Linked DNA regions of Ovis aries. The main gene of each other region encodes a partner of the protein of the gene in region 3 in a complex. Links are inferred from orthologs where the notes say so. Each region holds a gene or a part of one and is shown on either strand. Other genes may lie near its edges.

Evidence for each region.
Region 1: GTF2F2 (region 3) and GTF2H4 share a complex: the UniProt entries of both Homo sapiens proteins name them as parts of the TBP-based Pol II pre-initiation complex. The link is inferred for Ovis aries from reciprocal best matches to the Homo sapiens genes GTF2F2 and GTF2H4.
Region 2: GTF2F2 (region 3) and POLR2B share a complex: the UniProt entries of both Homo sapiens proteins name them as parts of the TBP-based Pol II pre-initiation complex. The link is inferred for Ovis aries from reciprocal best matches to the Homo sapiens genes GTF2F2 and POLR2B.

What each region holds. Positions count from the first base shown.
Region 1 is NC_056073.1:27,277,037-27,284,931, reverse strand, and holds the start of GTF2H4 (general transcription factor IIH subunit 4), read left to right. Parts: upstream 1-2,871; 5' UTR 2,872-3,040; intron 3,041-3,654; 5' UTR 3,655-3,657; coding exon 3,658-3,797; intron 3,798-4,062; coding exon 4,063-4,167; intron 4,168-4,515; coding exon 4,516-4,647; intron 4,648-4,908; coding exon 4,909-5,005; intron 5,006-5,097; coding exon 5,098-5,186; intron 5,187-5,613; coding exon 5,614-5,725; intron 5,726-5,870; coding exon 5,871-5,939; intron 5,940-6,139; coding exon 6,140-6,223; intron 6,224-6,474; coding exon 6,475-6,607; intron 6,608-6,798; coding exon 6,799-6,929; intron 6,930-7,895. UniProt on the Homo sapiens protein: Component of the general transcription and DNA repair factor IIH (TFIIH) core complex, which is involved in general and transcription-coupled nucleotide excision repair (NER) of damaged DNA and, when complexed to CAK, in RNA transcription by RNA polymerase II.
Region 2 is NC_056059.1:73,102,155-73,109,486, reverse strand, and holds part of POLR2B (DNA-directed RNA polymerase II subunit RPB2), read right to left. Parts: intron 4,775-7,332; coding exon 4,624-4,774; intron 912-4,623; exon of another isoform or gene 141-911; intron 1-140. UniProt on the Homo sapiens protein: Catalytic core component of RNA polymerase II (Pol II), a DNA-dependent RNA polymerase which synthesizes mRNA precursors and many functional non-coding RNAs using the four ribonucleoside triphosphates as substrates.
Region 3 is NC_056063.1:15,788,684-15,796,015, forward strand, and holds the end of GTF2F2 (general transcription factor IIF subunit 2), read left to right. Parts: intron 1-2,559; coding exon 2,560-2,679; 3' UTR 2,680-6,526; downstream 6,527-7,332. UniProt on the Homo sapiens protein: TFIIF is a general transcription initiation factor that binds to RNA polymerase II and helps to recruit it to the initiation complex in collaboration with TFIIB.

The DNA.
Region 1 (7,895 bases), on a different chromosome or scaffold from region 3:
GGGGGGCTACAGTCCATATAGCTTCGAAGAGTCGGACACAACTGGGTGACTTCACTTTCACTTTCAGTTAAGAGTGAAGGTGAAAGTTTCTTGGACTTACCTGGTGACTCAGCTGGTAAAGAATCCCCCTGCAACGCTGGAGACTTGGGTTCGATCCCTGGGTTGGGAAGATCCCCTGGAGAAGGGAAAGGCTACTCACTCCAGTATTCTGGCCTGGAGAATTCCATGGACTGTATAGTCCATGGGGTTGCAAAGAATAACTTTTTTTTTTAAGATGTATTTATTTTATTTTTAGCTACACTGGGTCTTTTCTACCCACAGGCTTTCTCTAGTTGAGGCAAGTGGAGGCTATTCTTCATTGCGGTGCACAGGCTTTTCATTGCAGTGGCTTCTCTTGTTGCAGAGCACAGGCTCTAGTGTGTGGACTCAGTAGATGTGGAACATGAGCTTAGTTGCTCTGTGGCATGCGGAATCTTCCTGGGCCAGGGATCGAACCAGTGTCCCTCGCACTGCAAGGCGTATTCTTAACCACTGAACCACCAGGGAAGCCCCAAGAATCACTTTTGAGAGTTTCTTCATTTGGTTACAAGGCACTTGTGTTTATTCCATTTACTGTCTGTTATTTTTTAGTATTTCTATTATATTGTTTATTTTTCTTACTGCTTTTGAGTGATAAGTGCTCTTTGTATTTTGGCTAGTTTATCCACCATTTCTTCCCAGATTATCAGTTCAGTTCAGTTGCTCAGTCATGTCCGACTCTGCGATCCCATGAACTGCAGCACACCAGGCCTCCTTGTCCATCACCAACTCCCAGAGTCCACCCAAACTCATGTTCATTGACTCGGAGATGCCATCTAACCATCTCATCCTCTGTTGTCCCCTTTTTCTCCTGCCCTCAATCTTTTCCAGCCTCAAGGTCTTTTCAAATGAATCGGCTCTTCGTATCAGATGGCCAAAGTATTGGAGTTTCAGCTTCAACATCAGTCCTTCCAATGATCACCCAGGACTGATCTCCTTTAGGATGGACTGGTTGGATCTCCTTGCAGTCCAAGGGACTCTCAAGAGTCTTCTCCAACACCACAGTTCAAAAGCATAATGATGCTACGGCTCTCAGCCTTCTTTATAGTCCAACTCTCACATCCATACATGACTACTGGAAAACCATAGCCTTGACTAGATGGACCTTTGTTGGCAAAGTAATGTCTCTGCTTTTTAATATGCTGTCTAGGTTGGTCATAACTTTCCTTCCAAGGAGTAAGCGTCTTTTAATTTCATGAGTGCAGTCACCATCTGTGGTGATTTTGGAGCCCCCCAAAATAAAAGATTATAATTTGTCCTTTAACCTTATTTAACATCTGTCATAAAGTAGCTTTGCCAGTTTTCTGTCACTCTTTGAGGATTTTAAACATTGTTCAAGAAATAGAGCAACAAAACACGCATGGGCTGGCTACAAAGTGTAACAAAGCTTTAGTCTTACCATTTTGATTCCTGGTCACTTGGAAATGTACTTCAAATCCCAGTTTCAGCACTTTCTAGCTATCTGATCACAATCACAAATTTCTTATTCTCAATGAGTTTCCATTTTCTAGTCTGCAAAGTGGGAATAACAAAACATGAAAGTGAAAGTCGTTCAACGGTGTCCAACTCTTTCTGAACCCATGGACTATACAGTTCATGGAATTCTCCAGGCCAGAATCCTGGACTTGGTAGCCATTCCCTTCTCCAGGGGATCTTCCCAATAAAACTTGCCTTTCAGGAATTTGGGTGACCGTGTAGCTCTGGCTTTTACTGAAGAAGTTCCCTCACCCGGTAATAGTTTCATAAATCAAATCAGTCCAATCAATTTTTTCTTTTAAAAACTGCATTTATTAGGATATTCTAATTAAACAGGAAGCGCTGAAACTCCAATACTTTGGCCACCTGATGCAAAGAACTGACTCACTGGAAAAGACCCTGATACTGGGAAAGATTGAAGGTGGGAGAAGGGGACGACAGAGGATGAGATGGCTGGATGGTATCACCAACTCAATGGACATGAGTTTGAGTAAGCTCCAGGAATTGGTGATGGACAGGGAGGCCTGGCTGCAGTCCATGGGGTCGCAAAGAGTCGGATACGACTGAGCGACTGAACTGAACTGGGGAGGTGAGCGGAAGCATGCAGGACATGAGAACATTTGTGGAGGACTTGGGCTTCCCTGGTGGCTCAGACGGTAAAGAGTCTGCCTGCAGTGCGGGAGACCCAGGTTCCGATTCCTGGGTGGGAAAGATCCCCTAGAGAAGGAAACAACAACCCACTCCAGTATTCTTGCCTGGAAAAATCCCATGGATGGTGGAGCTTGACAGGCCCCACTCCATGGGGTTGCAAAGAGTCAGACACGACTAAGCGACTTCACTTTAGGTACCTAGGAAGGCGCAGTGGATTGAATTAACACCTAATTTGAGAAAATGCTCTGGAAAGTGCATTATTGCAATTTTACGGGAAGCAACTGAGCTCAAGGAACCCAGTTTCCTGCGTCTCTACACGTAAGCGCCTCACCACCAAGCAGTTTCTGCACCTCCGCCAGGAAGCCCTCGGGGTATTTCTACTCCCAGCGTTCCCACTCCAGTTCAGTCAGTTAGACTCGCCGTTAGCCGAGTGGGTGGAAAGGGAGGCGGAACCAAGCAGCCAGACCTCTGGTGCTGCCGGCGCTCTTAAATACAAGCCAGCCTCTCTCCGCTAGGCTTCCTCGCGGTGCCTTTTGGGAGTTGAAGTCAGATGCGCCTCAGCTTGCTCCCGGGTGAGGAAGGACAAGACTCCAGTTCCCAGCATGCCTTGCTGTGGGCGAGTGCAGCGCCGATTCTTATCCTCCCCACTTCTCCACCCCTTCCCTTCTCTTCTGAATCCTCCAATCTGAACTCCAGTCGGTGAAATTCTTCGTCTCTCTCCCATTTTTTCCCTGTCATTTTCCGCCATCCTATTCCTCTTCCAGGGAGGAAGCCTCGTATAAGCGACGGCTTGTGACTCGGAGTGCACGAGAAAGGGGATCGACACGGAGTTACGGTAAGGGTGCAAGGCGAGAAGGGATGGCGAAATATGAGAGAGAGAGTTGAGAGAGAGGCGAGGATTGGGAGGAAAGTAGGGGACAAGTTGGGAGATCGTGCGGTGTAGATCAGGGTGAATGGGGTGAGGGAAGAGGAAAGAAGTGGAACTGGATTTGGGAGACATGGAGGGGAAAAATAGTTACTGCCGTGCTCAGCACGAGGTGGGGCCAAGAAGTAGATGGAAGAACATACGAATTTGGAACTTACAGGCTGATCAGACCAAGAGAGGCAGAAGGGAAAAAGGATTGGGCGCATTAGTGTCTTTGTCACTGCTTAGGTAAAGATGAGACAATTCATTGAAATATCAAGTGTTTTTGCAAATATGGGACAATTGACAATTTTGTTATCTAGAAATTGAGAGAAGACTGGTGTTTAGGTCAGAAGTGAGGTGAGAAGGCAGGAAAAGAGGAGAGGTTGGTCAGGATTGGGAGAAACAAGAGGAGGTGAGTGACATGAAAAAGGAAACCATAGGTGAGTTTTCATGGGGGCCGGTGGATCGGGAATCAGAATTAGAAAGGTGAGGGGTGATGCTGGCATGGCTTGTGGGGGTACACTAACACTTGCATCTCTCAGGTGATGGAGAGCACCCCTTCCAGGGGTGGACTGAATCGAGTACACCTACAATGCAGGAATTTGCAGGAATTCCTAGGAGGCCTGAGCCCTGGTATATTGGATCGATTGTATGGGCACCCTGCCACCTGCCTGGCTGTCTTCAGGTGAGGAACCCCCTTCATGGTAGGGTCCATGGTGGGGAAATGTAATGGGGCCTGCAGATTGAAATAAGTTATTGTGGGTAGAAGCTTAGCCGTGGTGGGCTTGGAGAGTAAAGTGTGTCAGGCAAAGCCATATGGAGGATGTGGCGGCAGCAAGACAGGTAAAAGCGTGGGGGGTGAATGTGAGATGTTTGAGAGGCCATGGATGGCAAGGATGCAGTTCTAAGACAGTTTCTGATGTTAACATTGTCCCTCTGCCCGCTTATAGGGAGCTCCCATCTTTGGCTAAGAACTGGGTGATGCGGATGCTCTTTCTGGAACAGCCTTTGCCACAAGCTGCTGTAGCCCTGTGGGTGAAGAAGGAATTCAGCAAGTGAGTCTCTCCTGCGTTTTTAGCCAGATACAAATTTCTCAACAGCCAGGCTTCCCAAACTGCTGTTCTTGGAACACTTGTAGGAAATATTAATGGGGACACCAACAACTTGTAATTAAACACATTTGGGAAATTCTCATTACTGTAATTTGCCTCTCGGAGAGTTGTGATGTCTGTAACAAGGCTCTGGTAGGTGTTACAGTAAAGAAATTTGCCTTAAGACACTGATCTCACTCTGTGAAATGGTGTTCCGAGGACCACCAGTTTAGAAAAGGCAGAAACTGACACCTTTGTGGGTCTCCTTTCTGTTCCCTAGTTATCTCCCTCACCTCTCTGCTTCTGTTCCAGAGCTCAGGAGGAAAGCACGGGGTTGCTGAGCGGCCTCCGTATCTGGCACACCCAGCTGCTCCCTGGTGGTCTCCAGGGCCTCATCCTCAACCCCATCTTCCGCCAAAACCTCCGCATTGCCCTTCTGGGTGGGTATGTCACTTCCGTCTTTTCCTAAATTAGGTAGGGGACATAGTGATTGAATTGCTGGCCTGGGAGCTCCTGAGGGGCCTCTCTGCAACCTTGCAGGCTCCACTTTTGGAAGCTCCTTTGGGAGTAAGTTGGACCAGATGGAGCTACATGGTGTAGGAAATGTCTCCCACTCATGGTCCCTGGGGATGAGGGTCAACTAAGGGCAGAAGCGTGGGTGGGGAACACAGGTAGGGTTCCTTACTGTTGGCCGTCCTGGCATAGGGGCAAGGCCTGGTCTGATGACACAAGTCAGCTGGGACCAGACAAGCATGCCCGGGACGTCCCCTCACTTGACAAGTACGCCGAGGAGCGATGGGAGGTGAGGACTTGGGCCTCTGTGGGTGTTTCTGCTTGTGTTCCTGCTTCCCACAGCCTTTAAGGCATCCAACTGTGTTCTCTTCCGTTCCTCAGGTGGTCCTGCACTTCATGGTGGGATCCCCCAGTGCAGCCGTCAGCCAGGACTTGGCTCAGCTCCTCAGCCAGGCTGGGCTCATGAAGAGGTGAGGAAGCCGGAGGTACAACAGCTCTGTTTTGCCATGTCCTTGAGTCCCTGCTAAATTGAGTCCACCTTGGGTCAGGATTGGAGAAGGTTGACTGAAAAAGGCGGGCTGAGGGACTTCTCCGGTGGTGCAGTGGCTAAGATTCCACGTTTCCAGTGCAGGGGACCCAGGTTCAATCCCTGGTCAGGGAACTAGATCCCACATGCCGCAACTAAGAGTTTGCATGTCACACAAAGATACTGCTTGCCTCAACAAAGATGGAAGATCCCGCATGCTATGACTAAGACCTGGCATGGCCAAATATTTTTAAAAGGAGAGTAGAGCAGAGTATGGCAAGAGATAAACAAACAACAAAAAAACGTGGGCACACAGGTGGGACGGTGGCCTTTCTCTGCACACCTCTGCCATGAGCCCTGTCTGTCACCAGTGCCGAACCTGGAGAGCCACCCTGCATTACCTCTGCCGGCTTCCAGTTCCTGTTGCTGGACACCCCAGCCCAGCTCTGGTACTTTATGTTGCAGTATCTGCAGACAGCCCAGGTGAGCAGGTCAGGGGTGCCCGCCAGCACTCTCTACTCTTGCCCAGACCCGCTGAGGGACTGCTGCCCGCAGTCTCTGTTCCCTGGTTTTCTCTCATTTCCTCCCTCCCACCTCTCCCCCTTTGTCTCTGCCCATTCCTCCCTAGAGTCGGGGCATGGACCTAGTGGAGATTCTCTCCTTCCTCTTCCAGCTCAGCTTCTCCACTCTGGGCAAGGTAAGTAGGAGGCTTGAGTGGGCAAGATGGGAAGAGAGTAAAGAGATGGGAAGGGGAAATGAGGTAATGGGGCAATACAGTGGAGGATAAGCATGAACAAAGAACAGGAAGAGATGGGAAAAGAGGGAGTGAGTGTATGGGATTGGGAAAGGGAGAATGGGATGTGTTTTGGACCCCAGCTGGCCTCTCCTTTTCCCCAGGATTACTCTGTGGAAGGTATGAGTGATTCTCTGTTGAACTTCCTGCAACATCTGCGTGAGTTTGGGCTTGTTTTCCAGAGGAAGGTATGAGCACCCAGACACATGGCCTCTACCAAAGAGACGGGGTGGGATGGTGCCTTGGCCTTTAAAGGAGAGTGGGGTCTTGGGAGGCAGTCATGAGAAGCAGTTGCCAGGACTGAATACTTATCTCCCTTGAGGGAGAGAAGTTGGGAGCTGAGGTCCTGGGCACCGGGAGGAATCTGATGTTTCAGGAGGAAGACGTAGTGCAGTGAGGCCTGAGAGAGGGCCTGTGGCCTTTCCCTTCTCCTTTTCAGAGGAAATCTCGGCGTTACTACCCCACACGCCTGGCCATCAATCTCTCATCAGGTGTTTCTGGGGCTGGGGGCACCGCACATCAGCCTGGCTTCATTGTTGTGGAAACCAATTACCGACTGTATGCCTACACGGGTGAGGCTGAACAGAGGGCCCCTGGGAGAGCAGGCTGGTGGGGAGGGGAGGAAGAAGGGGAAGGAAGCAGGAGGGACTGCCAGTTTCTAGTCACGTACACTTGTAACTTGGTGGTTTACAGAGCTCTCTGAGGCTTGGGGGAGCCTAGATGTGGGAAGCCTCCTAATCTTCTCTTCCTATCTTCTGGTCAGAGTCGGAGCTGCAGATCGCCCTTATTGCCCTTTTCTCTGAGATGCTCTATCGCTTCCCCAACATGGTGGTGGCACAGGTGACCCGGGAGAGCGTGCAGCAGGCCATTGCCAGTGGCATCACAGCCCAGCAGGTATCCCTGCCTGGGGAAGGTGTGGGTGGAAAGAAAGGCTGCACTTGGGCTGTAGGGTATGGGGTGGTCACCTACCAGAAGGCTAGCATAGGGTCTATTACAGAAGGTGGTGGTGAGTTGTCTACATGTGAACATCAGGTCATGAGAAATCAAGGCTCTCAGTGTGGGGAGAGGTAGACCCTCCTGCAGAAGACTCGTAAGGAGGAGCTATAACTCTGGATTTGTGTCTCAATACCACCACTTCCTAGCTGCACAGTGGTCTAGTTGTTTCTCTTATCTGAGCCTCAGTTTCCTCATCTGGAAAACGGAAATAATGACAGTTCCCCCTTCAGGGCTTCTGATAGATCTCACTTCAGCTATCAGGGCTTCCTTGCTAGCTCAGTTGGTAAAGAATTCACCTGCAATGCAGGAGACCCCAGGGCAATTCCTGGGTTGGGAAGATCCACTGGAGAAGGGATAGGCTATCCACTCCAGTATTCCTGGGCTTCCCTTGTGGTTCAGCTGGTAATGAATCAGCCCTCAGTGTGGGAGACCTGGGTTTGATCCCTGGGTTGGAAAGATGCCCTGGAGAAGGGAAAGGCTACCCACTCCAGTATTCTGGCTTAGAGAATTACATGGACTGAATAGTCTATGGGGTCACAAAGAGTCGGACATGACTGAGCGACTTTCACAAAAGGTTGTTGAACGAAGTCAGTGAAATAGAGGTAAAGCATTTAGTTCAGAGCCTGCCATGCAGTTAGTGCTCAAAAATAATAGTTGCTGTTAATTTAAAGAAAAAAAAAAAAACCTATGGAAAGGGCAAATATGCCAAAGAAGGAGCGGCAGACATCACCAATGGGAGCAACACCTAAGGACAACAGCTAATCTGGGATGTGTTGAATTGATAGGCATATGCCTATGAATTTTTAAACAATCAGTTGATGTTCAGTGACATTAGGAGATAGGTAGCTTTTCTGCTTTCTTTTT
Region 2 (7,332 bases), on a different chromosome or scaffold from region 3:
AAAGTTACCAGAAAACAAAGAAAAGATACATTCATACAATTAGAAAGGTGTTCTAAACTAATCAACAGGACATGGGAAAAAGTAAACCTAACTCTTCAATTAAACATAACAGAAGATGCCAGCACCAGTCGCAGGGCAAAATGGAAGCGCTGATTTTGGAACTCTTCCTGTATACTGGTCAAAGCCATCCTTATTCTGGACAATGAAGGAGATCAAATTTTTGCCACATACAATGACACCTATACCAGCATCAAGAAGCAAAAGGCCTTTGAGAAGAATATTTTCAACAAGACCCTTAGGATTGACAGTGAAGCTGCCCTTTTAGAAAGCCTGGAAGTAGTATACAAAAGCTGTATCAATCTCTATTTCTGTATGATTGGCAGCTCCTATAAAAATGAACTGAAGTTCATGGCTGTTTTGAACTGCTTCTTCAACTAATCAAGACAGATGCTGAGGGAAAATGTAGAAAAGCAAGCTCTACTGGTGAATATTCTTCTCGGCTATGGAAGAAATCACAGATGCAGGGGTGATCCGAGACAGTAATTCCCATAAAGTTGTACTCCCGGTGGCAGTAAGGAGCAGATCAAATATCAGGTGCTGCAGTCAGCCAAAGAAAAGATCCAGCAGTCACTCCAGTGAAGACCACCATTCCTGGCTTTTCAGTCAGTTCAGTTCAGTCACGTCCAACTCTTTGCAACCCTATGAACTGCAGCATGCCAGGCCTCCCTGTCCATCACCAACTCCTGGAGTCCACCCAAACCCATGTCCGTCGAGTCGGTGATGCCATCCAACCATCTCATCCTCCGTTGTCCCCTTCTCCTCCTGCCCTCAATCTTTCCCAGCATCAGGGTCTTTTCCAATGAGTCAGCTCTTTGCATGAGGTGGCCAAAGTATTGGAGTTTCAGCTTCAACATCAGCCCTTTCAATAAATGAACACCCAGGACTGATCACCTTTAGGATGGATGGGTTGGATCTCCTTGCAGTCCAAGGGACCCTCAAGAGTCTTCTCCAACACCACAGTTCAAAAGCATCAATTCTTCAGCGCTCAGCTTTCTTTATAATCCAACTCACACATCCATACATGACCACTGGAAAAACCACAGCCTTGACTAGATGGACCTTTGTTGGCAAAGTAATGTCTCTGCTTTTTAATATACTGTCTAGGTTGGTCATAACTTTTCTTCCAAGGAGTAAACGTCTTTTAATTTCATGGCTGCAGTCACCATCTGCGGTGATTTTGGAGCCCAGAAAAATAAAGTCAGCCACTGTTTCCACTGTTTCCCCATTTATTTGCCATGAAGTGATGGGACCGGATGCCGTGATCTCAGTTTGCTCAATGTTGAGCCGGCTCTTCACTTCCTCAAAAAATCCAAGAAGAGCTCCTGGGTGACTTCTCATCCAGTCCCCCAAGTGATGCTTGCAGGATCATCTTGAGGTCACAGAGATTGAGACTCCATCTTGTCTGTAGGTGCCCCATGCTCACCCCAACCTGTACACGCTTGCCCTTCCTTCTCACTCCTCTCTGTCAGTACTGGAAGGAAAGCTCTGAGCACATCGGACACAGGGCAGGGGAAGCACCCTCCTTCTTTGACTGGATCGTGCTCCCACGCTCTTCTACAGCCTATATTTTCTCCTCTACTTCTGTGCTTCTGTGCCCTGTGGTGCAACTACACTTCAAAGCAGGAGAAGGAACGTGCTGAGGGTTTTCCTCCTTTTGCCTTTACACAGCCTTCATCCCAACAGCAAGGGGAGGGAGAGAGAATTCTTTTGTATAGAATAAGTGGGGGTGGGGAGTGGCATTTCAAGTCTCAGTATTTTCCCCTATTTCTTCTTACTGCCCAGACCTCTAGTCTTGAAAAAAATACTGGGAACATAGGAAGCGACAGCATGGAAACAGTGATTTAAATTTTATCGAAGAGGGTCTATAAAATTCTGTATTTCAACACAGCTGAATTTTCTTTTTACCCTGATCCTGGCTCATAGCTTCAAAACTGCTGTGGTCTGTGTTTGTTGTAGGAATGTCCATCTCTGTGTCTGATACCTTAACTCTCCACCTTCACTACCATCAGATCTCCACCTGACTTGTCCTCTCTGTGCCCTAGAGAAAAGACAGTCCCTGAATTAAAACTCTACTTGAGTCTTGGGAAGAAGAGTTTCTGCTCAGAACTGGAGACAGGGTGGAATTTAGGACTTGGACCTCTAGGCTCTCTTAGTCCCCTTCTCTCTTCTCTCCCCAACAGGCATTTCAATTCTCTGCCTTGGGTCTGTGAACTCTGCTGCTTAACACTGTCCTCTTCTGCCCCAACCTAATCCAGGCACCACCCATCCCGAGGTCACTGAAAGAGATGCCTTTCTTCAGAAAACCTTTGGGATTAGAATTTCCCCAGGAAGATGAAGGATGGAACGTTCATTGCTGGGTTTCATCTCTCCTTCTGACCCAAAACTTCCCACAAAAATGTCTCAAGAAACCTTCCCAAAACTTAGCATTCTGCCCCATTCACTAACTGCCAATTCCCATGGGCAGATAACTGGGAATCCTTGAGGGGGCATTTCTGTGTAAGAGATGTATGGAATCAGTATGATAGCCACCTTCTTTCAATACTGTGTGCAAAGAGGAATAAAAAAGAAACAACAACAGAAAATCCTAATTACTATTCTACATAAAGAAATGAGAATTTCCAACCATGGCTGACTATAGCTTATTTCACAGTTAAAAAAAAAAAAAGAGAGAAAGAAAAATTTTCAATTAAATATCTGCTACCCAATAAAACAAGATCCAAGAGAACTTTCCAGAGTTAAATGGATACGGAATTTCTCTCTAAATCAAACCTCAGAAAAGGAAAAGATGGAACTACGCAGATCACTAAAGGAAAATTGTGAATACCCAAGTTTCCCAAGCTGGAGTAGGCAAAGAGCAAAAAGAACTACTGTTGATAATGAAACAAAAGGAATCCAGCCATCCAACTACTTATTTCCACTATCACCTTAGTTTAGGACATTATTATCTGAAACTTAAGCTATTTCAAAATTTGTATCTGACTCCAGTCTCTTACCATTCCAAGTAAACACCATTTCCAAAGCAACCTTTTTAAATAACACTTTAATACATTCTTTGACAGTCTTTCCACAATTTCCCATGACAGCCAATGACATCCAAGCATGTGACAACCTAGTTCCATCTTATCTTCCACTATCAAAAAGAGATCAAGTCAAAAACAATACACTGACTACGGTGGTCCCTCCATTCCAACCACAAGCCAAATTCATGAAGTATCTCTTGCTGAAATGATTAAATATCTTTTCTCTACTAAGACAAATGCCCTTTACAGTCAGCTTAAGTCCCTCCCATCTTTTTCACTAAGCTCTGATACCAAAGCTTACGAGATCTCTTCCTTCCATAGTATTTATTTTGGAACTCTGAATATGCTATATTGTTGTCTCTCGTTTTGAAAAGACCATATAGAAAAAAATGCCATACATTAAAAAAAAACAAAGACATTTTATACCCATTTTTCCAACACAGTGCCTGAAGAGTCAATTATTTTTGTTCTCAAGAGCAAAGTCTATGCAGTAGCTCCACCTAAAATGAGAATAATACACCAGCACTTATGAGATAAGCTACGGAAAAGAGGGACTGATCTGGCAGGAAATAATAATCTTTCCCTCTGTCTACTTCTACTTCTTTTCTACCTCATTTTGGTTTTTAGTTTTCCCTGTCCCTCAAGACCGATCAAGCTGCCTCTCTACTCAAAAACTAGGAACATGGAATTCCCTGGTGGCTCAGTGGCTAGGATTCTGGGCTTTTGCTGCCATGGCCTAGGTTTGATCCCTGGTGGGGGAAATTGAGATTCCCCCAAACCATGCAGCAATAAATAGTACTTAAAAAAAAAAAACTGGGGTGGGAAGAAAGTTCATGAGGGAGGGAAATATGTATACCTATGGCTGATTTATGTTGCTGTATGGCAGAAACCAACAACATTGTAAAGCGATTATCCTCCAATTAAAAATAAATAAATTAAGGAAAAAAAACTAGGGACAGTCATTGTTTTCGACTACATACACACTTCTTTACAATCACTCAAAACTAGATTCTAAAATGATAGCCCTGCTATGATTTTAACAATGCTGAAAACATGCACATGTTTAAAAAAAAAAAAGACTACAAACTAATTTAGAAAAATTAAAAGAGCTGATATATTTGGGTGATTTCCCCTTACCTCTTATATTGATATAACAATGTATTTCATGCAACAAATAATCAAGGCAGAGGTTCTTCACCTACTTTTTCTTTCTATTACTTATACTTGGAAAGACAAAAGGAGGATTTTCTGAAGTAATATGACTATTTCTGGCTTGCTTCTCTCAGTAGCTCATCATATCTCTTGAGATTCTTCTTCCTGACTATTAAATACCTACTATCTGAATAGGAATTAACAGTTCTGCATTACTCGCAAAAATGCATCTCTCCACTAGTAAGACTAAATCAGGAGCTGATAGAAACTGTTGAAAGTACACTACAGAAAGTACACCTTTCTTTTTTAACCTTTAAGCCAGGTGAGAAAAGGACTGAAATTTCAAATCAATACCCTTATTTATGTTACTTTATTAAAATAACCATCTTACCGGTTCTTCAACTTCTCCACTAGCATGCTGAGCTTCAGCTTGTAGGTCTATAGGTGGAGCATCTTCCACAATTCTTTGAACAGACATCTGAATAAACTCATCAAAAGAATCCAGCTGTTGTCTCACCAAACCTTTCTCATCAAAATAGGAACTGGGAAAATATGAGTTTACAATCAGTTACAACTCACTAATGTTTTCTAGCATATTTCCCCATTTTCACTATCATTAAATTCAACAAATATTAATCATAAAATAGAAATCACTCTGTACCCATCACTATATAAAATACTATCATGTATCTAAAAAGGCGATGAGACTAGGAACACTTTCTTTGTCGAACTTATTGTTAAGTCTGTGGAAATGAGACTTATACCTGTGGGTAGAATTACTAAAACACAACGTAAGAACTATAAGGAAGCCCTAACTTATAAATATCCCTTATAAACTTTATCCAACCTCTCTGAAACATTTCTTGAAACTAAAGAAAATGTATAGTCAAAGAGAAAAACATTAACAGGGATGGGCCATGAGACTATTAAGAGAAATAAACAGGAGAAAATCAGATAGCACATGATTTCACTCATACATGGAATCTTAAAAACAAAGGGAAAAAACCCAAACCCAAAACAACAGACAAACAAAACAAAAAAAACTCACAGACATAGAGAACAGAAAAGAGGTTACCAGAGAGAGAAGGTGGTTAGCTTTATAGGTGAAATGGGTGATGGGGGTAAAATGTAAGGTGATACAAATGATGGATGATAACTAGACTGTGGCGTTGATCCCTCTGTGGTATATTCAGATGTTGAACTATAATGCTGTACACCTGAAACTTATATAACAAAAAAAAAGCATGGAAAAAAAAAGAAAAATAAGAACTTTAATTTTAATAAGAAAAAAGATGATGATGTCAATGACTAAAATACAGCATGTTAAGAATTTCAATTTTAGGTTAAAGATTATCCTATTCTGTATATGTTAAAGGTAATATGAGGCAAAGTCATTTAAGTGAAAATACTCAGCAAATGACTGATCATTAAAAATGGAGCAAGGTTGAGAGATCAGAGCTAGTGGTATAGACACAAAAATCAAACAGTGAAAGCCCTAATGAAGGACAGAGGCTCAAAAAGAAACAACTTATTATTTGCAAGAAGACTCTTTCCGCTTACCACCACACAAGAAGAGCTGCATAGCTGGACCTAGCTTCTAGCCCCTTTTGCTTATTAACTAGCTCCCTCATCTCACACCAACTTTCTGAGCACCATGCATAGCCCAACAAACCATCAGCTTCCCGTTTCCACATCAGGAGATCATCTCACAGGTTGCTGGCCAGCCTACAGATTGGCTGGCTTTGGGTCCCACCCTGATTCAGTCACCCATCGCTACCAATATCAGAAGTTCTCTATGGCAGAGAACAGAGTAATAATCACCCGTATATAAGGTACAGCTTCAAGAATGATGGAGGCAGACACGTCCTTGGTGGTCCAGTGGCTAAGACTCCATGCTCCCAATGCAGGGGGCTAGTTTTGATCCCCCATCAGGATACTAGGTCCCACATGCCACAACTAAGAGTTCGTGGGCCAAAGTAAAAATTCCTGCCTGCCACAACTAAGACCTGGTACAGCCAAATAAATAAATAAAAGTAAATAAATATTTATAGAATGGTGAAGGTAACTTCCTTCAGTAGAGACTGTGAGCTAACAGGAAAGAAATTTCTCACAACCATTTGGGTCAGCCATTGGTATGTAAGAGACACATGGAAGGCACTAGCTGTAAAGTAAACAACGGTTTTTATGGACAATTTACAATTAAAAATCTTTTAAAAACTAAGGACAAGTTTCATCCTCCCAGGAAGCTGAACCATAGCTACTTTTCCCCAAATCATCAGAACAGTACCTCATTAGAATGCCACCCTTTAAACACCTAAACTATAGTTCTTATTTATGAATAGTTATTATTTTGAATAGTTCTCATTTATGGTATCTACTACTATGATGGGGTTCCCTGAATTCCCAGACTCAGTTGTAAAGAATTCGCCTGCCAATGCAAGAGATGTCGGTTCCTTCCCTTGATCAAAAAGATACTCTGGAGAAGAAATGGCAACCCACTCCAGTATTCTTGCCTGGGAAATCTCATGTACAGAAGGAACCTGGCAGGCTATAGTCCATGGAATCACAAAAGAGTCAGACACAGTGACTAAATAATAACTACCATGACTGATGTATAAGAAGTCATCTTACTAAACTCACTATGATATTAAGTATTATCACATTCACAATACCTGGGAAAGATCACTTGATATCAAATAGTGGAAAAACAAAACATCATCTCACCATAGTTAAAGTACCTATAATCAATTAAAATGTAAAAATCAAACAACATTTTATTCTGTAAGAAACGTTAAATGCAAGGACTTGTCACAGAGTATATTTATCCTTCAGCAATCTGCCACATAAGTTGAAAACTATTTTTTTTGGCTAAGATCAAAACATTCTTTCTCCCTGGCAATCACCAAATACAGGCACCTTCCAAACATCTAGCTGGTTACTGTTTCCTAGTAAAAATGTCTCTTGGTGTTTAATACTAAAAATCATAGAAGATGTAAATGTCTCAGTATGAAGTTTATAGTCCACGTTTAATAGGAAAAACAAATACATACTTATATCCCATAAACTCAATACATTTTAAACAAAACAATCTTCAGCAAAG
Region 3 (7,332 bases):
ACCTGGGTGGATGCCTGCACCAGAGTTTGGAATTTAACCTGGAGGCCAAAGGGGAAGTCAGAGAACATTTTAAAACAGAGGAATGACATAATCTCACTGGTCTTTACCTGTGTCCTTCCTTCCAGGATTTTCTGACCTTGTTTTTCTCTATGGTCACTACTACTTTTTCTGCTAATGCTTTGTGCCAAGTTAATTCAGCTGGTTCTAGTAGAGTGGTCTTAGGTTTGGGATTTGGAACATTGCCAAACTTCCAAAGTTTGCCCCTTCTCCCACCCCAGAAAAGGGTTCTGTACCATGACCCTAATCCCATCTTGTTAACTGACAAATTAATGGACCCCTGACTATGTCTTGGCATTCTTATTGTTAAAAAAAAAAAAAGAGAGAGAGAGAGAGAGAATGGCATCTTTATATATAAAAAAATACTCCTTAACTTTATTATACTAATGCGATAAAATGAGAGTGAAGGCAACTGAATTTGTACACTTAAGACACTCAGTATTTTGTGTTTAGCCTCTCTAGGCTTTTCATCTTCTGTATCCGGGTTATGTACACGGGCATGGTAGGCTTGAGGATGAGACAGTGTCTGTCTGGCAGCCACAGTGCTCCTGGCTCCTGCTCTCTTCATTTTTGAGGCTTGCACTGTGTCCCCAGTTGTATGATTGTTTGCACCCAGGGTCTAGCCATTCTCACAATAAACCATTCTTTGGAATTTTACAAAGAAATCATTCATGGCACCCAAACTGAAAACCGAAGCCCATCCCGTCATTTTCCATTTGTGAATCCTGTTTAACTAGAAAGTCATTTATGAACAGTGTCCCATGTTTTCTATGCAATCTGAAGTAGCAGATGGCAGGCGTGCATATTACCTGATTATCTGAAGCCTACTTCAGTAACTCGCTGACTCATTTACATGGGTCCCTCCTTGGAGCCAGCTACAGAAGGCGTGGGAGGCAGGCAGGCAGGCAGACAGGCAGGCAGGCAGGCAGGCAGGCAGGCCTCCTCCTGGGGAAACCCAGGCCTCCGCCGATTCATTGCTGCCACCTGCTGGGGTGGGGAAAGCCACTCAAGCGAGAGCTGAGCCGTCTGGGCCATTTGAGAGACCTGTATGTAGTTCCAGTGCTAACCAGGGACCCCTAAATAAAAGTTGAGACTGTGAAGCAGTACACCCATCAGTGTAAGGTGGTATTCAGTGGTGTCGGTTAACACACACTCTCCAGCAGCAGTGAGGGTCAGAAACCTAAATAACACTGCAAGGACCCCAAGATCCCAGAGCATTAGAGCCAGAAGAAGTTTTGAGCAGTTGCTGTGGACTTCAGTTCAGTCAGGCTCCAGGGGGCTTGTGAATTGCAGTTTCCCATGCTTGGCGCCAGAGGTTTAATTGACTCGCCCTACAGTGGGGTTCAGTTCACAGGCCCCCATGAAGTTCTGGTGCAGGTAATCTAGCATCACACTTAGAAAGGCACCGCCTTCAACACTATCAAGCCATTCTCCGCCTCTTTAAAAATTAGTGCCTCGTTCCCATGAATTAAAAAATTTACATCCTATTACATCTTCCGTCAGTGGGATGAGTCCCTGTAATGTACCTGTAACTGGTTCTATGAAGCATGCACACAAAAATTCTTGTTTGGCTCATTGGTTGTATAGTGGGGGGGGCGGGGTTCATTTTAAACATGTAACTTTTCTCTCTTCCCCAAGAAGGAAGTACGGTAATCTGTATTGGTTTATAGTGAAATGCTTTTTCACCTTGGGCATTGGCAAGCAAAGATGGGGTTTGGTACTACATTTTTCATAGCCATCATTTTCATGCCTCTAGTGATCATTTGGGTAATACCTGAATTTTCAGGTGCCTGAAATACCATGATCCAGAGTTCTGACCTCCGTCATTTCTCACCCCTATCCTTTGGTGGACCTAAGCCCAGGAAAACTGCAGCCGTCAGGGTTTTTAACATATCTTATTCTACCTTCCTCTGTCTAGGCAACCTTGGCCATGTGATACAAACAATATTAAACATACATAACGACTTGCCTTATTATACAAGAAAAGCAAGTGGCCCAATAGCAAATTTGAGAACTCACCTTAGAACTGAGAATTCTGGGTGTCTGTCATGTGCTTGCTTCATAGAAAAATAACATATGCTCCTGCTTCTAAAATGACTGTTTCCTATCCAAGAATAATCCTGTCTGACTGTGAACTCAGTGATATCACAGAACTCGGGGGCTCATTACACTTGGTATACTTATAAATTAAGTACCAACAAATGTATTTCCTTCTAAACTCTCTTTCCTTCTTTTTTTTTTTTAAGCTCTCAAGGCTGCTGGCATTCAGGACTTCTAAGCCCTGTAATGCAAATAATCATATTTAGTGCAGTTATCATGTATTGTATGCAAATAATCAAAAAGGCAGTTTATTGAAATTCATTATAGAGAAATCTAATGGGGCTTTCGGAATCATAATTTTTGTTACTTGTAAATGTAGTTTGATATATCATTTTATTTTATATTTTTGTTTCCTGCCTTCTTTATCTCATCTGTCAAGGTTATTTTGGTTCTGTTTTTCAGTCATACCTGAAGGACATCTTAAAGGAAATTGGTGTTCAAAATGTTAAAGGGATCCACAAAAACACATGGGAACTGAAGCCAGAATACAGACATTATCAAGTAGAAGAAAAAAGTGATTAAGAAGATTGGAAGCCCGCCTAACAGAACTAAAGGATGATGAGCTGAGCAGACAGCCCTGATGTGTGAATCCTTGAGCACTATCTGTTATAGGGGGGAAATGACTGGTACTTTAATTTCTCTAGGTAAATTTTTTAAACAATAATTCTTGTAAAGTTGCTTAAATGATTTTTGAGGAAAAAGAACACCTTTATATACTTGTATTAAACCAGATTATTCATGATGGGGTGGGGCGTTGAAAGGTTTTTCTTTTTAAATATTAACTTTCAAATGTAAAATTAGGAAATGTTTTCTAAATGAGCACTCCCCATCTTTGCGTGAAGAGTTGAAGTGATATAGATCCAAAGTGATTGGCACAGCAGGAAAAAAAAGTAGGCAACTCCAGAAATTCTGAAAAGGAACTAAAGAAAAGTTCCTTCTTCTGAAATTGTCACAGAGCAAGGCTGTCCTTTTTTTTTTTTTTTTTAAACAGGTGGTTGTGTTTCATATTTGCACATATTAATGAAAGTATAGCATTTGGGTGTGTACTAAGGTAGCAGTTTGTTTTGTTTCTTTTTCGAGATAGCAGTTTTCATCATTAGCTTACTTTACCCTAGTGACAGTGACCTGAGAACTGGAAAAAGTCGTGGGCAGTTGCTGTTTCTTTCCTCTCTTCTTCTTTTAAAATAATTAGAAGTTAAATGCTTTTCCAGTTCGGGATATACATCCCCCATCGTAAGCTTCTCAAAGATGTTTACTGCACACTCAGCAAGCCTATATTGACTAGTTTGTGACAAAGGCTGTTTACCACCTAAAGGAGGGTTGTAGGGGTAAGGTTGATGTGTACAGACAAACAGGTTAATGTCAGCTCCTGGGGAATGAAAGTGTTTCTTTTGTCTTTCTTTTTAATTAGTTTTAAATAAAAACAATACCTGTCCATGGTATTACATAGCACAAAATGTTATATATTCAGTTCAGTTCAATTCAGTTGCTCAGTCGTGTCCGACTCTTTGCGACCCCCTGAATTGCAGCACGCCAGGCCTCCCTGTCCAGCACCAACTCCCGGAGTTCACTCTGACTCACGTCCATCAAGTCCGTGATGCCATCCAGCCATCTCATCCTCTGTCGTCCCCTTCTCCTCCTGCCCCCAATCCTTCCCAGCATCAGAGTCTTTTCCAGTGAGTCAACTCTTCGCATGAGGTGGCCAAAGTACTGGAGTTTCAGCTTCAGCATCATTCCCTCCAAAGAAATCCCAGGGCTGATCTCCTTCAGAATGGACTGGTTGGATCTCCTTGCAGTCCAAGGGACTCTCAAGAGTCTTCTCCAACACCACAGTTCAAAAGCATCAATTCTTTGGTGCTCAGCCTTCTTCACAGTCCAACTCTCACATCCATACATGACCACTGGAAAAACCATCTAAAAGCATATCCATGAATAAGATCACCAAAATGAAAGAAGCTTTAGCAAACTAAACACAATTAAGAATTTATTTTTACTTGTTAATTTTGTCATCTGTTTCAGTACGCTTACAACCAAGAAGCAGCAAATGCCAAAATTTTTTGTTATGTAATTAAAACAAATCCTGGAAATAATCTGTCCACTGAGATAAATATTTTCCTGTATTATTTGATTTTTTAGCAGCAGAATGCTGAAGCTGAGACCAGTGCGTTAGATTTTTTGTCCTGGGATTCCCAGTGAAATAAAACTAAGGAAGGTGGTCCCATCCCCTCTCCCACCTCCAGCTGTCTTATCCTGCCTTACTGTGCTGCAGTAACCAAACATTGTATCTCCATTACCTTCCTTTTTTTTTAGGTGTTTGTTTGTTTGTTTGTTTTTGATGTGGGCCATTTTTAAAGTTTTTATTGAATTTGTTATAGTATAGCTTCTGTTTTATGTTTTGGTTTTTTGACTGCAAGGCATGTGGGATCTTAGGTCCCAAGTGAGGGATCGAACCCACACCCCCCGCATTGGAGATGTAACCACTGGACCACCAGGGCCATCCCTCCACTGTCTTTCAACTCCCAGTTACTTAAGGCTCAGTGTAAGCAAGCCGATGGGTAATGATGTAGCATATCTGTATATAGCCGAGGGTTCTGGGCACCTGGTATTTGCTTTGTACAGAGGATATATCTTCTCCCAAACCTGTCTTTCTGGATGTATGACACTGCTCTGAAACAGACCTGTGTCTCCTCTACCCCAGCCTTTTGTTTTTGCAGTGGCAGCGCCTGCCAGAACTTGCTGCTGGAAGAGTTGCCAGGGCAACTTCGTCTCATCTAAAGCTGTGCTTTGGTTATTTTCTGCCAACTTGGTTCTTAAGCTTGTTTTAGTTACCTTGTACCTTGTCACACTGACAGTATCCTATCTCTTAAATACTTACTATCTATTCGGTAGAATAGGTGGTAGACTGGTGCCATTCCTGATTAATTTTTTGAAATTGCCTTCTTATTTAGTACAAACATGCAGCTGTTGGTCAAGAAGGAGATTCTCTCTTCCACCTGGGCTCCCTTTTTCTTTTATTTCAGGACTCTCTTGCTCTGATAAACACGGTTTTGGCAGCCAAAAATCCTAAACCCTTATAACCGCTGTGAGATGGCGAGAGAGGAAGGCTGATGAGGGGGATATACACCTGGTAAGATGTCCCATCGTAAGACAACAGGAAGGCCATATGTAATCAATGAGATTGTTAAACTCAACCAGTGCACACACCTTGGGGATATTTTAACTGACAGAATGTAGTAAGATTGTGGTTGCTTGGCATTGGAAAGATTTGAAATCACATGTTACCAATAGCATCCAAAGTGATACATCTTTAAAAAGTAAACCAGTTTAGCTCTATGGAATCAGCAGCGGCTCTCCTGGATTTCAGCAGAGGTGCAGTTGTTCCTGATGGTCTGTGATCACATTTTCTTTGAAGCTGTTTTCATCACCATTGGTACATATTAATGAAAATAAGAGGAAACAGTGCCTGGCAATGTATCAAACGCTCTAAAATACTCTCTCATTTAAAGAATTAGTGTGGAGAAGTAGATAATGTCCATTTTATAGAACCATTTCCTGCCCAACATAATATCATGAGTACCAGTCCCTCTTTAGGAGAATTCTGCCCTTTGGGGATAAAGTCAATGCTAGAGTATACCTTCTCAGAAGCCCATGAGTCTCCCCCACCTCCCCTCGTCTTACCCCCAAACCAGGAAAAAGGCGATCAAAGTGGCGACCAGTGGTCTTTGGCATCCCCTGCTTGAATCCAGACACCCAGCCCTTCCTGACCCACAGGACACGGTTACATTTTCTCCTTTAAAGTCAGGCTCCTCTTGCTAACTGTTAATCCCTGTTACACTTCAAGTACCCACGTAGGGTGTGCAGCGTTGCAGTGGACTCCTCGAGCTCCATGCGCGTCCGGGATCAAGTGGGATGTGATGGGAATACACTAGCTATTGCACCAGCTGAAAGGTAGCTGCCTTTGTTCAGACTTCACTTGCTGAAAGCTTGCCTTTCGTCTCAGCGTATTGGCCATTTTCCCTGGCATTTGTGTGATGGTCCAAGAGGTGACAGGCCAAATATCTTTTTGGTTCAGTTTTCACTTTTGACAGTTCAGTGCATGCTTCTAAGCCTAATATCTTTTTCATAGTATGTAAGAGGAGGGATCAGAGATCACTTTGTAACATTACCTTTCTTCTCGTACTCCCATGCTTTCTTCTTCTTACTTCCTTTCCTTTGAGCAGGTGCCACCACTCATTATACAGTAGCACGATGTAACACCCGACAGACTGACGGTATAAGTCTTTGGTGGTTTATCATAGGAAAATTAACAGCGTCTATCTGATTTTGTTGGAAATCGTCTAAATTAAAAAAGGACTTTTTCAATGCTGTAGCTTCCACTTTAAACTGTTTATTGAACTTTTATTGTGTGCCAGACACTCTGCTAGGCATTTGACTCCTGTGACTCGTGTAATCCTCCCAACAGCCCTACAAAATGCAATTCGGGAGACCCAGTTCCATCCCTGGATCGGGAAGATTCCCCGGAGAAGGGCATGGCAACCCACTCCAGTATTTTTGCCTGGAGAATCCCATGGACAGGGAGCCTGGTGGGCTACAGTCAATGGGGTTGCAACAAGTGGGACAAAACTGAGCACTAACGCTTTCACCTTCTTTCAACTCATGTAGTCCTAACAACATGTATGTGTGCGTGGGCTGTTGCTTCAGTCCAAACCAACTTTTAATGAATTATGTGTTAGAGGTTTGCGGTTCCAATCATTTGTCACCACTGCAAATGCTAATCAATAAGGACAGATAGGGAATAAGAAATAAATAGGGTTAAATGACTCCTTTTTTGAGGCCCAATTACTCCTAGTTGGCCTGGAGGGCCTCCCTAAGAGCTGAGGCTGAAGTAGAGCTTTCTCTGTTTATCCTTCTCCTCACTTAGTGATGACTAGCTGCCACTGGTGGGTGTTTGGCCTGGCTTACCGTTTGCAGGGGAAAAATCTGGAGTGGCTGGAAGAAGACATGCAAATGGCCAACAGGTACATGAAAAAATACTCAGCATCACTGCTCATCAGGGAAATGGAAATCAAAACCACAGTGAGCTGTCACCTCACACCTGTTAGAATGGCTGTCCTGAAGAAAGGCAAGAGGTAAGTGTTGGTGAGAATGTGGAGAAAAGGGACCTCTTGTGCACTG